Linked DNA regions of Caenorhabditis elegans. The protein of the gene in region 1 interacts with the protein of each later gene in a biochemical or structural test. Each region holds a gene or a part of one and is shown on either strand. Other genes may lie near its edges. The genes, in order: unc-10 and unc-13.

What was found.
Region 2: the proteins of unc-10 (region 1) and unc-13 form a complex in vitro, tested with the Caenorhabditis elegans proteins (one study listed by BioGRID).

Annotation. Positions count from the first base shown.
Region 1 is NC_003284.9:7,277,153-7,281,969, forward strand, and holds the start of unc-10 (Rab-3-interacting molecule unc-10), read right to left. Parts: upstream 3,171-4,817; 5' UTR 3,150-3,170; coding exon 3,081-3,149; intron 2,932-3,080; exon of another isoform or gene 2,793-2,931; intron 2,748-2,792; coding exon 2,698-2,747; intron 2,639-2,697; coding exon 2,505-2,638; intron 2,451-2,504; exon of another isoform or gene 2,366-2,450; intron 2,326-2,365; coding exon 2,255-2,325; intron 1,841-2,254; coding exon 1,653-1,840; intron 1,540-1,652; coding exon 1,203-1,539; intron 1,146-1,202; coding exon 1,001-1,145; intron 892-1,000; coding exon 803-891; intron 596-802; coding exon 540-595; intron 493-539; coding exon 311-492; intron 252-310; coding exon 152-251; intron 1-151. UniProt on the Caenorhabditis elegans protein: Regulates the efficiency of a post-docking step of the release pathway. Acts after vesicle docking likely via regulating priming. May regulate the conformational changes in syntaxin.
Region 2 is NC_003279.8:7,420,981-7,425,845, reverse strand, and holds the start of unc-13 (Phorbol ester/diacylglycerol-binding protein unc-13), read right to left. Parts: upstream 3,062-4,865; coding exon 2,989-3,061; intron 2,889-2,988; coding exon 2,859-2,888; intron 913-2,858; coding exon 813-912; intron 518-812; coding exon 407-517; intron 174-406; coding exon 43-173; intron 1-42.

The DNA.
Region 1 (4,817 bases):
CAAAAAGGAAGTCATGCTAAATAATGAGAAAATGGAGACGTAACTGGAAGAGGGAAAGCAATGAACTCAAAGCTTGAGCACTTAGTACAAAAAAGACATTACTCAATTGAGTTTGTCTATTTTTTCCATTAGCCAAATTACACTTGCTCACCTATGCAATCGATTTTTCACCCGGTTCAAATGGTCGTCAGTAGAAGGACATGCTCGCACGCCTTGCGTGTTGGACTGACTCTGTGAAGAGTTGTTCCGCTCTGAAATTGATTCTCAAAATAGAATTTAGCAAGGTATTATCGATATGATATCATCTTACGTTTCTTAGATTCGAAGTTTGACGAACTTGCATAATCCTCCTCTGTTACCCGGCTGACTGTGTTTTTTCTAAGATTTCGGTTGTTTTGGTTCTGATTCTGATTATTTTGTTGTGAGCCCTGTTGCATTTGGCCATCAAATTGTCTTTGGTCATTCTCGGAATTTCCAGTGTAGAACGTGGGTCTGAAAGCAAGTGGGTATCAAGTTTTTAAACTTTATGGGATACTTACCGCTGGTTCATGCCATCATCCTCAACGTGATTGTATTTGTTCATGGGCGTAGTTTGCTAAATTAGAAACAATTTCGTTTTTTTTTTCATTTTAATATATTTTTCTACTCTGAACTTTGTACGACAGTACTGTAATTCTGACCAAATTTTCCGCTCTAGATGATTCTTCACATTTGTTCATTACTTTTACAGAAGTATCACCCTAATAATAAGCTGCTCAATCTTTTTTCAAAAGCTCGTTTTTGATATCCCTGATCCCTTCACCTCTAATGACGGCTGCCTATTGAACATTCCTCCTTGCCCGTTAGTATTCTCTCTCATTCTGTTGTTATCCGTCCGTTGTTCATTCATTTCTGAAATTATCCAGACTATATCAATTTGCGTCTCGTTCGCAATTTTAGCGCACAACACTTTTTTGTTTTGTTTTTCACTTTCTCTTTTTATACCCCTGGAGGCTCTTACGTTGATGATGCTGCTCTTGTTGTCCATGTTGATTATGGTGTTGATGTGCCGCGCCTACGTTGTTTTGATACTGACTGGGCTGCTGTTGAGGCGTTTGTTTCATAGTTCGAGAGTCATTTGTCCTTTGTTGGTTTTGGGGGCCAGTCTGAATTATTTACATGTAGAATTTGAAATAATCGTGGAACTTTCCAACTTCAAGTACCTGGTTTCTCTGGTTTTGAGTCATATTCTGATTGTGGCTCTGTTGTTGATTTTGGTTTTGATTCATCTGATTTATCTGATTTGCCTGATTTTGACTCATTGGCTGTTGTTGCATAGCTCTTCGATTATTCTGTTGATGATTGTTGGCTCCTTGATGATTATTTTGAACATGATTTTGATTTTGATGCGGGTTCTGCATTTGATTCTGATTGTGGTTTTGATTTGGATGTTGATTTGAATTTTGGTTCTGATTCATGAAATTCTGCTGAGTTTGATTATGATTTGGCTGCATTCCCATTCCACGGGGTTGTTGGTTGTTTTGATAATTTGGAGTGTTCCTGAAAATATGAAAATTAGTCTGAATTGTGATTGATTGAAACTAACGCTTCAAAGGAACATGTAACAATCAAACACAAACTTGGAAAAGTAAAAGAAACCGGAAGAAACTCACATTTTATCAGGCGGCTCTGCTCGCCTCTGCTGCGGTTCTGGTACGTTGTCGTCAGTTAGTGGTTGGGGCGAAGGGCTTGGCTCGGAGCCGCTAATTTTCGGCTGCGGCTGCTCTTCGGGTTGGAACCATTTGCCTGTTTTGGCAAGAATTTGTTGACGTTTCTGGCACAACGAACAAGCCCAGATTGCCTGAAAGCTTTTTACTTCTTCTCTTCAATTCACTTCTCTACTTTTTTATCGGTCGGTGCACCCACGGGGCTAATACTTTCTATTTATCTCTTTATTCCAAACTACTTTGCAAACAATGGATGCTATTGTTTTTCAGCTTCTGTCGTATTTTTTTAGATGTAAAAACGATTATTTCGCTTGATTTCCAAATTAGATTCATTAACTATAAAATTAAACATGATTTTATAATAAATTGTAAAGTTTAGATTTTTTTTGTGAAAATATAAACATTGCAACATCATATCGCAAAAATGTTCAAGTCGATTTTGCTCAAATTGGTTTTTATTCTGTTATTCAAATGCAGTCATCCAGAATTTGTCCTTTCTCTTTCATGTTTCCCCTTATTTCATCCCACACTTTCACTCCCGCTCGTACCTTATTTTTGCTCTGTGCTCTACCTCCACATCTGGCGCAGCTACGCAATTGACAATAAAAGCACTTGTGGCCTGAAAAACCTCTCATCTTGTGCTAAATTGATGTCCTTTTAGAGAGACGATGACAGCCAAGGGTTAGGGGCTCTCTGACGCCGCGGAGAGAATTACTAGGAACAGAAAACGAGGCTCATCTCAGGGCGACAGAAGGACCCTTTGCTCTCATCGCTTCTTCAGGAAAAGGAACAACGTACCAATTCCGTCCGCAAATTTGGTCTTCTGACAGATTTGACAGATCGCGTCATCTTGTGTGCCAACCAGCTTTTTCGATGTTTCTTTCCGCTCCGTGATCTGTTTGTCTAACTCTGACAATTCTTCAGATGCTTTTCTGGAAAATCATTCGCATGAAGAAATACCAATGCAATTATGTGTCTACAAAACTCTTACTGTGATATTTGTGTTTCTTTTGCCTCCTCATCTTTTTGTCGTTTGAAGACCTGCAAAAAACATAAATCATGAGCGTTCTGAGTGAGTATTCTCTATATGTATGTGCACGCATGATATCATGCCAATTTTCTTGTCGAATGTACATAAGAGCACACACTCGTTTGATTGCATATCCATTATTTTGCGTGTGCTCACGGCGTTGTAAGTAATACCCCTCCCCTTTTCTCGCTCTTTCACCCCTCGGGGGGCCCGTCATGCTCCGAGACAGAGGACTCACACCGCACCAACTACTTTTTTGAACCCCACAAGAAGCAGACGGATGGGCAAAATGAACGATGGGGGGGGGGGGGGGGGGGGAGGGGGTTCGTGCTGGAACAACTCACATTTTCTATTATTTCACGTTCTTCTGCAGATAAATGGGATAAATCCGGCATCATCGACGGATCGTCCATGATTATATTTAATGAGGCACTGAAGTTTGATTTTTAAGGTAATAAGGAGTTATTGCATCATGTGAAATCATAGCGTATAAAAAGACTAAAGCGCGATAACAATCCGAATAGAAAGAATAGAAACGAATTTGTTCGGTTTAAGAGTTGTATGTCAATAAAGGCCAACAAGAAAACAGGATCAACGCTGAAACAAAAAAAGAACAGCGTCAAAGATGGGGAAACCGAGAGAGGAAAAATAAGAGCGTCCGGGATTAGAAACGTTGAAAAATGACGCCTTTTCCAAGACATGAGCGCCCAGTAAGACTGGATGTGGTCATTTTCGACGACGACGTCGATGAATACCGTGGGAAACTCGGGACATCCAAAAATAGTCTTCCTCTTCTTTTCTTTACTGCTATCAAGAACTTTTTGCAAAAAAGAGAAAGAGAGCACTAAAACGGGAAAGGAATAAGAAATAAGCGTAGGAGGTGGGGAAGTGGGAAGCGAAGGAAAACGGGAAAAGAAAAGGAATAGAAGGGTGATGGATATTGGGTTCGCCAGGTTTCGCCATAAAAAAAGGCCAACCATGGACAGGTAAAGGTTCAAGCTGATGTTTGAATTGACAAAAAATGGACAGCTTGTGCAAAGTGGACAAAAGCATGTAAGAATAAAAAGCAAAATTCGATGCAAGATTAATGATGCACAAAAGGAGACATTCATTTGAGACAATGAATTCATGCTCGTTTCCCTGAGCACGGAAAAAAGACAAGGTTTGAAGATAGGGGTGGGGGGAGCCTCCCGTATCCGTAAGGAAAGAGAAAGAGGGCGAAAGGAAAAACGGAGGTGAAACGGGAGGAAAAGAAAAAAGACAAGGCGCGCCCAGGAGGAAAACCCGGGCGAATGCGATATAAGCAATGAATAAAACAAGGCCACGGATAGCGAATAGTTCATGTTTTACTCAGAGCTCTTCTAATAAATAAATGGATGTGTGTAGATGGGAGGGAGGGGTTTAGGACTCGGGGGCTAGCGGCGTGTGGCGACTGATGCGCAAACGCAGGGTGGAGAAAACGACGAAGGGATGGAGCAACGCCCGCAAAACACAAAAATGCTCCAAAGGCTCTACCCTTCTTTTCTCCCCCAACCAGTCTTCTCTCCCTTTCCATCCCGAGATGGCTCTATGTGGCGTTTGTGCCAAACGTTGACAATTAGCAACTCAGCGGGCAGCTTATCCAATATGCTCAAGATTGCCAAGTTTTGTTCTTTCTTCGTTGGAGGGCCTCCACACATACACACACATACACACGCAGGCCTCAGCCTCAAATTGGATTATCTGTTCATGAATGCATAGCAAAGAGAAGTATAAAACGACAGAAAAAGAAGACGAAGGAGGTGAGGACAGGGGACAGACAAACAGGGAACAGGACGAGGGATCACCTTTCCAAAAAGTTCACGCCCCTTCAATGCCCTTTCAGATACGTTCAGAATTCCTACTAGGACTATGAAGTAACTAATTATTAAAACTCACAGCAAAAGCAAAACATTTTTGTTCAACAATCGAACAAACTTTTCAAAAAAAGAGAATATTAAACATTCGCAACACTTATATATCCATATCCATATATATATATATATATACTATTTTCCTATTCCATCGGCTGGATTTCTAAATGTGTTATATGAAAAGAGTTT
Region 2 (4,865 bases), on another chromosome or scaffold:
CCATACTATAAGAAATTATAATTCTGAATAACAACCACTCACCAAAAGGAAGCTCAAATCGAACATCAGTCAACAAGTTATGACCTGTTGGACCACGTGTTCCTACAGTTTGACCATTTCTTGTTTCAAGTTCATGATCCATTTGAAGCCATTGACCCGAACCTGCTGCATTGCTGAAAATCAATGGGGTATTTTTAGAAAACTGATACATTAATTTTAAAAGTTAGAAACCACTTCCGCTCAATTACGACAATTATAGGTGGCGAAAACTGAATAATTGCACTTTTCCATTGTAAATAAGAAACGTTCATATTTTTTCGTAAAATTGTATTAAAGTATGTTGCCATTTTAGTATTGGTTTTAGAGTGATTTTAACTGACGACTGGAAATTAAAAAAAAATTTTACCTGTATCTAATCTCCGAAAGTGGCATATAATGAACACCTATTAATTTGTCCCATAAAACGCCTTTGGCCCATAATTCGAGTACCATTCCGTCGTCAGGTCGATTTGTTTCACTGAAATAATTAATTAAATATGAGGTGATGTGGTTTAGCTGAAACCTTAATGTTTGATTAATTGGTTTTCAAATATAATTGTTGTTATTTTAATAAAATAATTGTAAGTGTAATGAAAAAAAAACAAGTAAAACGTTCCAAAACTAAAAAAAGGAGGCAAAATAACACCAATTTACGCATAATGGTATTTTTCCTTCCATAATATCAAATATTACTATTTTCAGCTGTTCTTTTTTTATAACATTTACAAAAATCGGTCTCCTTTACCGTATTTCACCTGTCAATGACAACTTACAAAATGAATTCCTGCTCCCAGCATGGTAAGTTGCCACGCACAGCCACAGTTGTTGATTTTACAGTCTGCAGCTTCACCGTCACGTACGAGTTGAATTCATCTGAGATCAGGCATTTAAATTGTTTTTCAAAAATTTAAAAACTGAAAAAAAACATGCTCTAATGATAGGGAGGGCGCGAAACGTTAATGCTTGTACAAAACCTCTTTAAAATTTATAGAAAATTTCAACTCAATCCAAGTTTTGATAATCAAAATTTTAAAAATCAAAACTTGATAAGACTTTGGTAAAACGAAGGTGAAAAGTTGTTGAGATTTCATTTCCAAAAAGAAATTTGAAAAAATCTAGAGAAGATTATAAATCTGCAAAATCTCTCCAATCCTAAATAAAATCGCAACTTCAAAATTTTTTTACTGCTGGACAACTTATTGGCTAATCCTAAAAATGGGACAGTTGAAAACAATTGGGTCCTAAAACAAGAGTTAGAATGTAACACGTTAACTATAAATATGCTCTCATGAAAATTACTGGGACGCTCAGTTAAACTTTTGTACCCAGGGGAACAATAAAAAAAGAAGCTATATTTTTTTTAGTTGAAAAGAAAAAAAAAAAGAGAACAACGTGAATTATAACTCAATTTCTGGCTCAAACTTGAGTGAAAGATCAAGAATCTTTAAAGTTCTTTCTCATGAGATTTATAGTAAATGTAAAAAGCTACTAAACATTGAACGATTTGTTAAATTTTTTGAACAAGCTGGTTGTATTCTTACTATTACTATATGCTCTTACTATATGCTTTAAAGATGGGGTACTTTTAGCGGGATTTTGTCAACTTACGTTTAGAATGTGGGGTTTTTCGAACTATATGTGTAACTTCAGACACATTCTTTACTACTAATACTTAAAAAAACGAAAACATTTGTTCTATATTCTCAAAATTAAATGAAATATCAAAAATTATTTCAAAAGCATTGGAAATATATGTTTCGCTTAATTTTTAATAATTTTTTAAAATTTTAATTCCATAATTTTTTCTTGAGCTTAACGTACATGATAAATAACAAAGTTTAAGTTTCATTTCATTTTTCTTGGTCTTTAAGCTTCCAGTCCACCGTATCTTGTTTCGTCTCCGGTGCCCTCATTCATTCGTCATTCCATTTCAAACGTTTTCCCCAGTGACTTACTCTCTTGTTTAGAGGTGCCCCCGGTGCTTCTATGTTTAATTTCCTGGCAACTTTTTTCCGGTTTCTTACTTTTTACTTACTCACTTGCTCACGAATGTAGTTAAACTTTTCCTGCCTCTTCAACGACTCTTTTCTCTTATCTTACTCTAAAAAGGTCCCAAAATTTGATTAAAATTTGCCAAAAAAAAGGGATGGGAAAATAGAAGAGGCGGGTGCATACACATACATTCAGAATACTAAGCACATCTTGTACGTGATGTTGAGGTATAAGTTGTGCATTATTTCGTGTGTCATCGAAGCATGAAAACGCGCGTTTCACGATGAGATTTATTATTCGGGAGGTCGCCCCGTGAAACTGGAATGACAGGTGTCACGAATGATGAATTTCTCAGGCGACAACTACAAATCGGAGCAACGCCACGCATGATCGTTTCTCGATTTGCAGAAAGGGATTTATTCAGATTTTTTAGTCTTTCACCCAAAGGAGGTGGACATTTCATTTAAAAAAAGTCAGATCCACATTTCAGACATCTGGCAAGTTAATAGTTTTTTGTTGAGATAAAGTGATGATTCATAAAGTGGAAGAGCCACTTGATTTTCAGTTAGCTCTGACTATGATTTTTTAAAAGTATTTGGAGCAGGAGCATCTTTTGGTTCTATGGTCATCGAGACTAATTGTAACAGTACTGGCACACTGTTACATTTTCAGATTTTTTTCAAAAAATTGGCAGAACTCTCAGAATATTTGTTACATTATCTACTTCAAGTTTCAGGGAATTTCCAGTATTTTTCAAACGAAATAAATTATTTTAAATGAAAACTGAACTATATATTTTAAGTTATAAAATCAATAGAAATACTCACCGACAGCTCCTTGAAGTCGTGCTTTTTTAACTGAAACAATCAATGTTAACATCTCGTCCATAACTGAGTGTCGATGGTCTCGTATATATGTATTCTCGAGACGGCAAGAAGAACACAAATAACAACTCACTGGTAATGCAGAGCAACCTCATGCTCATGCCATCTGAAAGTTGATCATCATTGTAATCTCCAACGTCATCCATCCCTTCTGATTGTTGAAACGTGGCATATTCTTGGGCGATGGTTGAAGAGGAAGCGGCCTCCCCAGATGGGTACGCGCCGCCGACCAGTTGTTCCAATGCCGAGAACAACTTGGTCTCCTGGAGAGTTTTTGGATCAGGATTTTCAGAATTTTAAGGTTTTAGCGAATCAATTAGAGATCAGGTTTAGGTTCAAGTTCCTGGTGCAGAGTTAAAGCTTGAGATCAAGTTTAACCTATAGACAAAAGTTAAACTGAAGGTCAGTGATGAGTGGTACAAATAATTGGATTAAGCAGAAGTAAGTAAGTTCAAAAGAACTAACAGCCTAATCAGACAGATCCAGAGATCTTTGAAATTTGTGTTTTGTAGTTTTTGTTCAAAGAAAGTTATAGATAGAACGTGTTCAAAGCCCCTTAATTTTATATAAAAATTAAATTAAAAACAAAACTCTCAATTCCTACATAACAATGAATAAAAAATTATATGCATGACATGATGAAAAGTCATAAAATACAGAAAAAATGAGCTCCTTTTTTTGCTAAGAAAATGCGTATAGCCTCGAGGTGCCTTCTGCATTATAATGAAAAATGCATCACTTTTTTCTATACTTTTTTTACTATGAAATACGAAAAACTGGGTTAAAAAGTAAATACAAGTTTAGAAAAACTATATTGTTTTACTTCTTTCTCTTGTCAAAGTTGTTTTTATTCTTTAAATGAGAAAATTTCAAGAATGTGTTAGTAACTCAGTGATTTTAACATTCAAAAGTGGAACATAGTGAAAATTTTTTCAAAAAAAAAAAAAAAAAAACGAAATTAAAAAAACGAAATTTTTGTTACCAGTCAAAAAAATTAAAGAGTTTGCAAAATTAAATTTTGGCAGTATAACATCATTTTGACTGAACATTTGAAAAATCTGAAACAATTTTTTAGGGTCTCATTTAAGCACTTTTATTTTTGATTTTGACAAAATCCTGACTGGTGCTACATTATTTTTACAATAAAAAAACAAAACTTCAACATGAACTTCTTATGGACAAAAAAGCTGTAAACTCTTTAATATAATTTTTGTCTAAAATTCCAAACCTAAACGAAAAAATCTTGATCAAACCACAAAAAAAGTTGATTAAGAAAGTCCAAAAAAAGAAACGAACGCAAAATGCGCGAAAAAGTAGCATTTTTTGGAGTATATACTAAAGAAACCAGTGAGATAGTGATTCAAACTAATAGACGCAGAGAACCGGAATAAGTATAACGGAGAGTGTGGAGACGGCGACTGGATGAGCTTGTGCTTTCTTCTTCTTCTGCTCCCGCTCTCTACCCCCTATTCGCCACTCCCCCCTTCGCAAAAATTGAGGACGGAGTAGCAGAAGACGTCGCGGAGCCAAGCTAGAGGAGCACGGAGCACTGAATTCTCGGAGAACCCAGAGATAGTTGCACCCACTACCACCACTCTTCCCTTCACCACAATTTCTCTTTTGGTGTCCCTCTCTCTCTCTTACTTTTTCACCAATTGGGTTTCAGAAATGGACAATAGGAGGACGTTTATATGTGTTTGTGTATGTGGACGGTTCTCACGCTCTAGTGCTCTCCATTCCAATTTCTAGACCTAGATGCCACTCAATGCTTCAAAACAGACTTGCTATGGGAATTCATATCAAATTCTGTGTTCCGATGAGGTTTTAAAATCATACGAAGAACCCATTTTCAAGGGTTGTGTTCCAGAAAAAGATATTTTTAATTATCAAGATGTTTTCTAGGAAATTAGATAGTTTCCAGCATGTTTTAAATATCGAAAATTAGTTCTG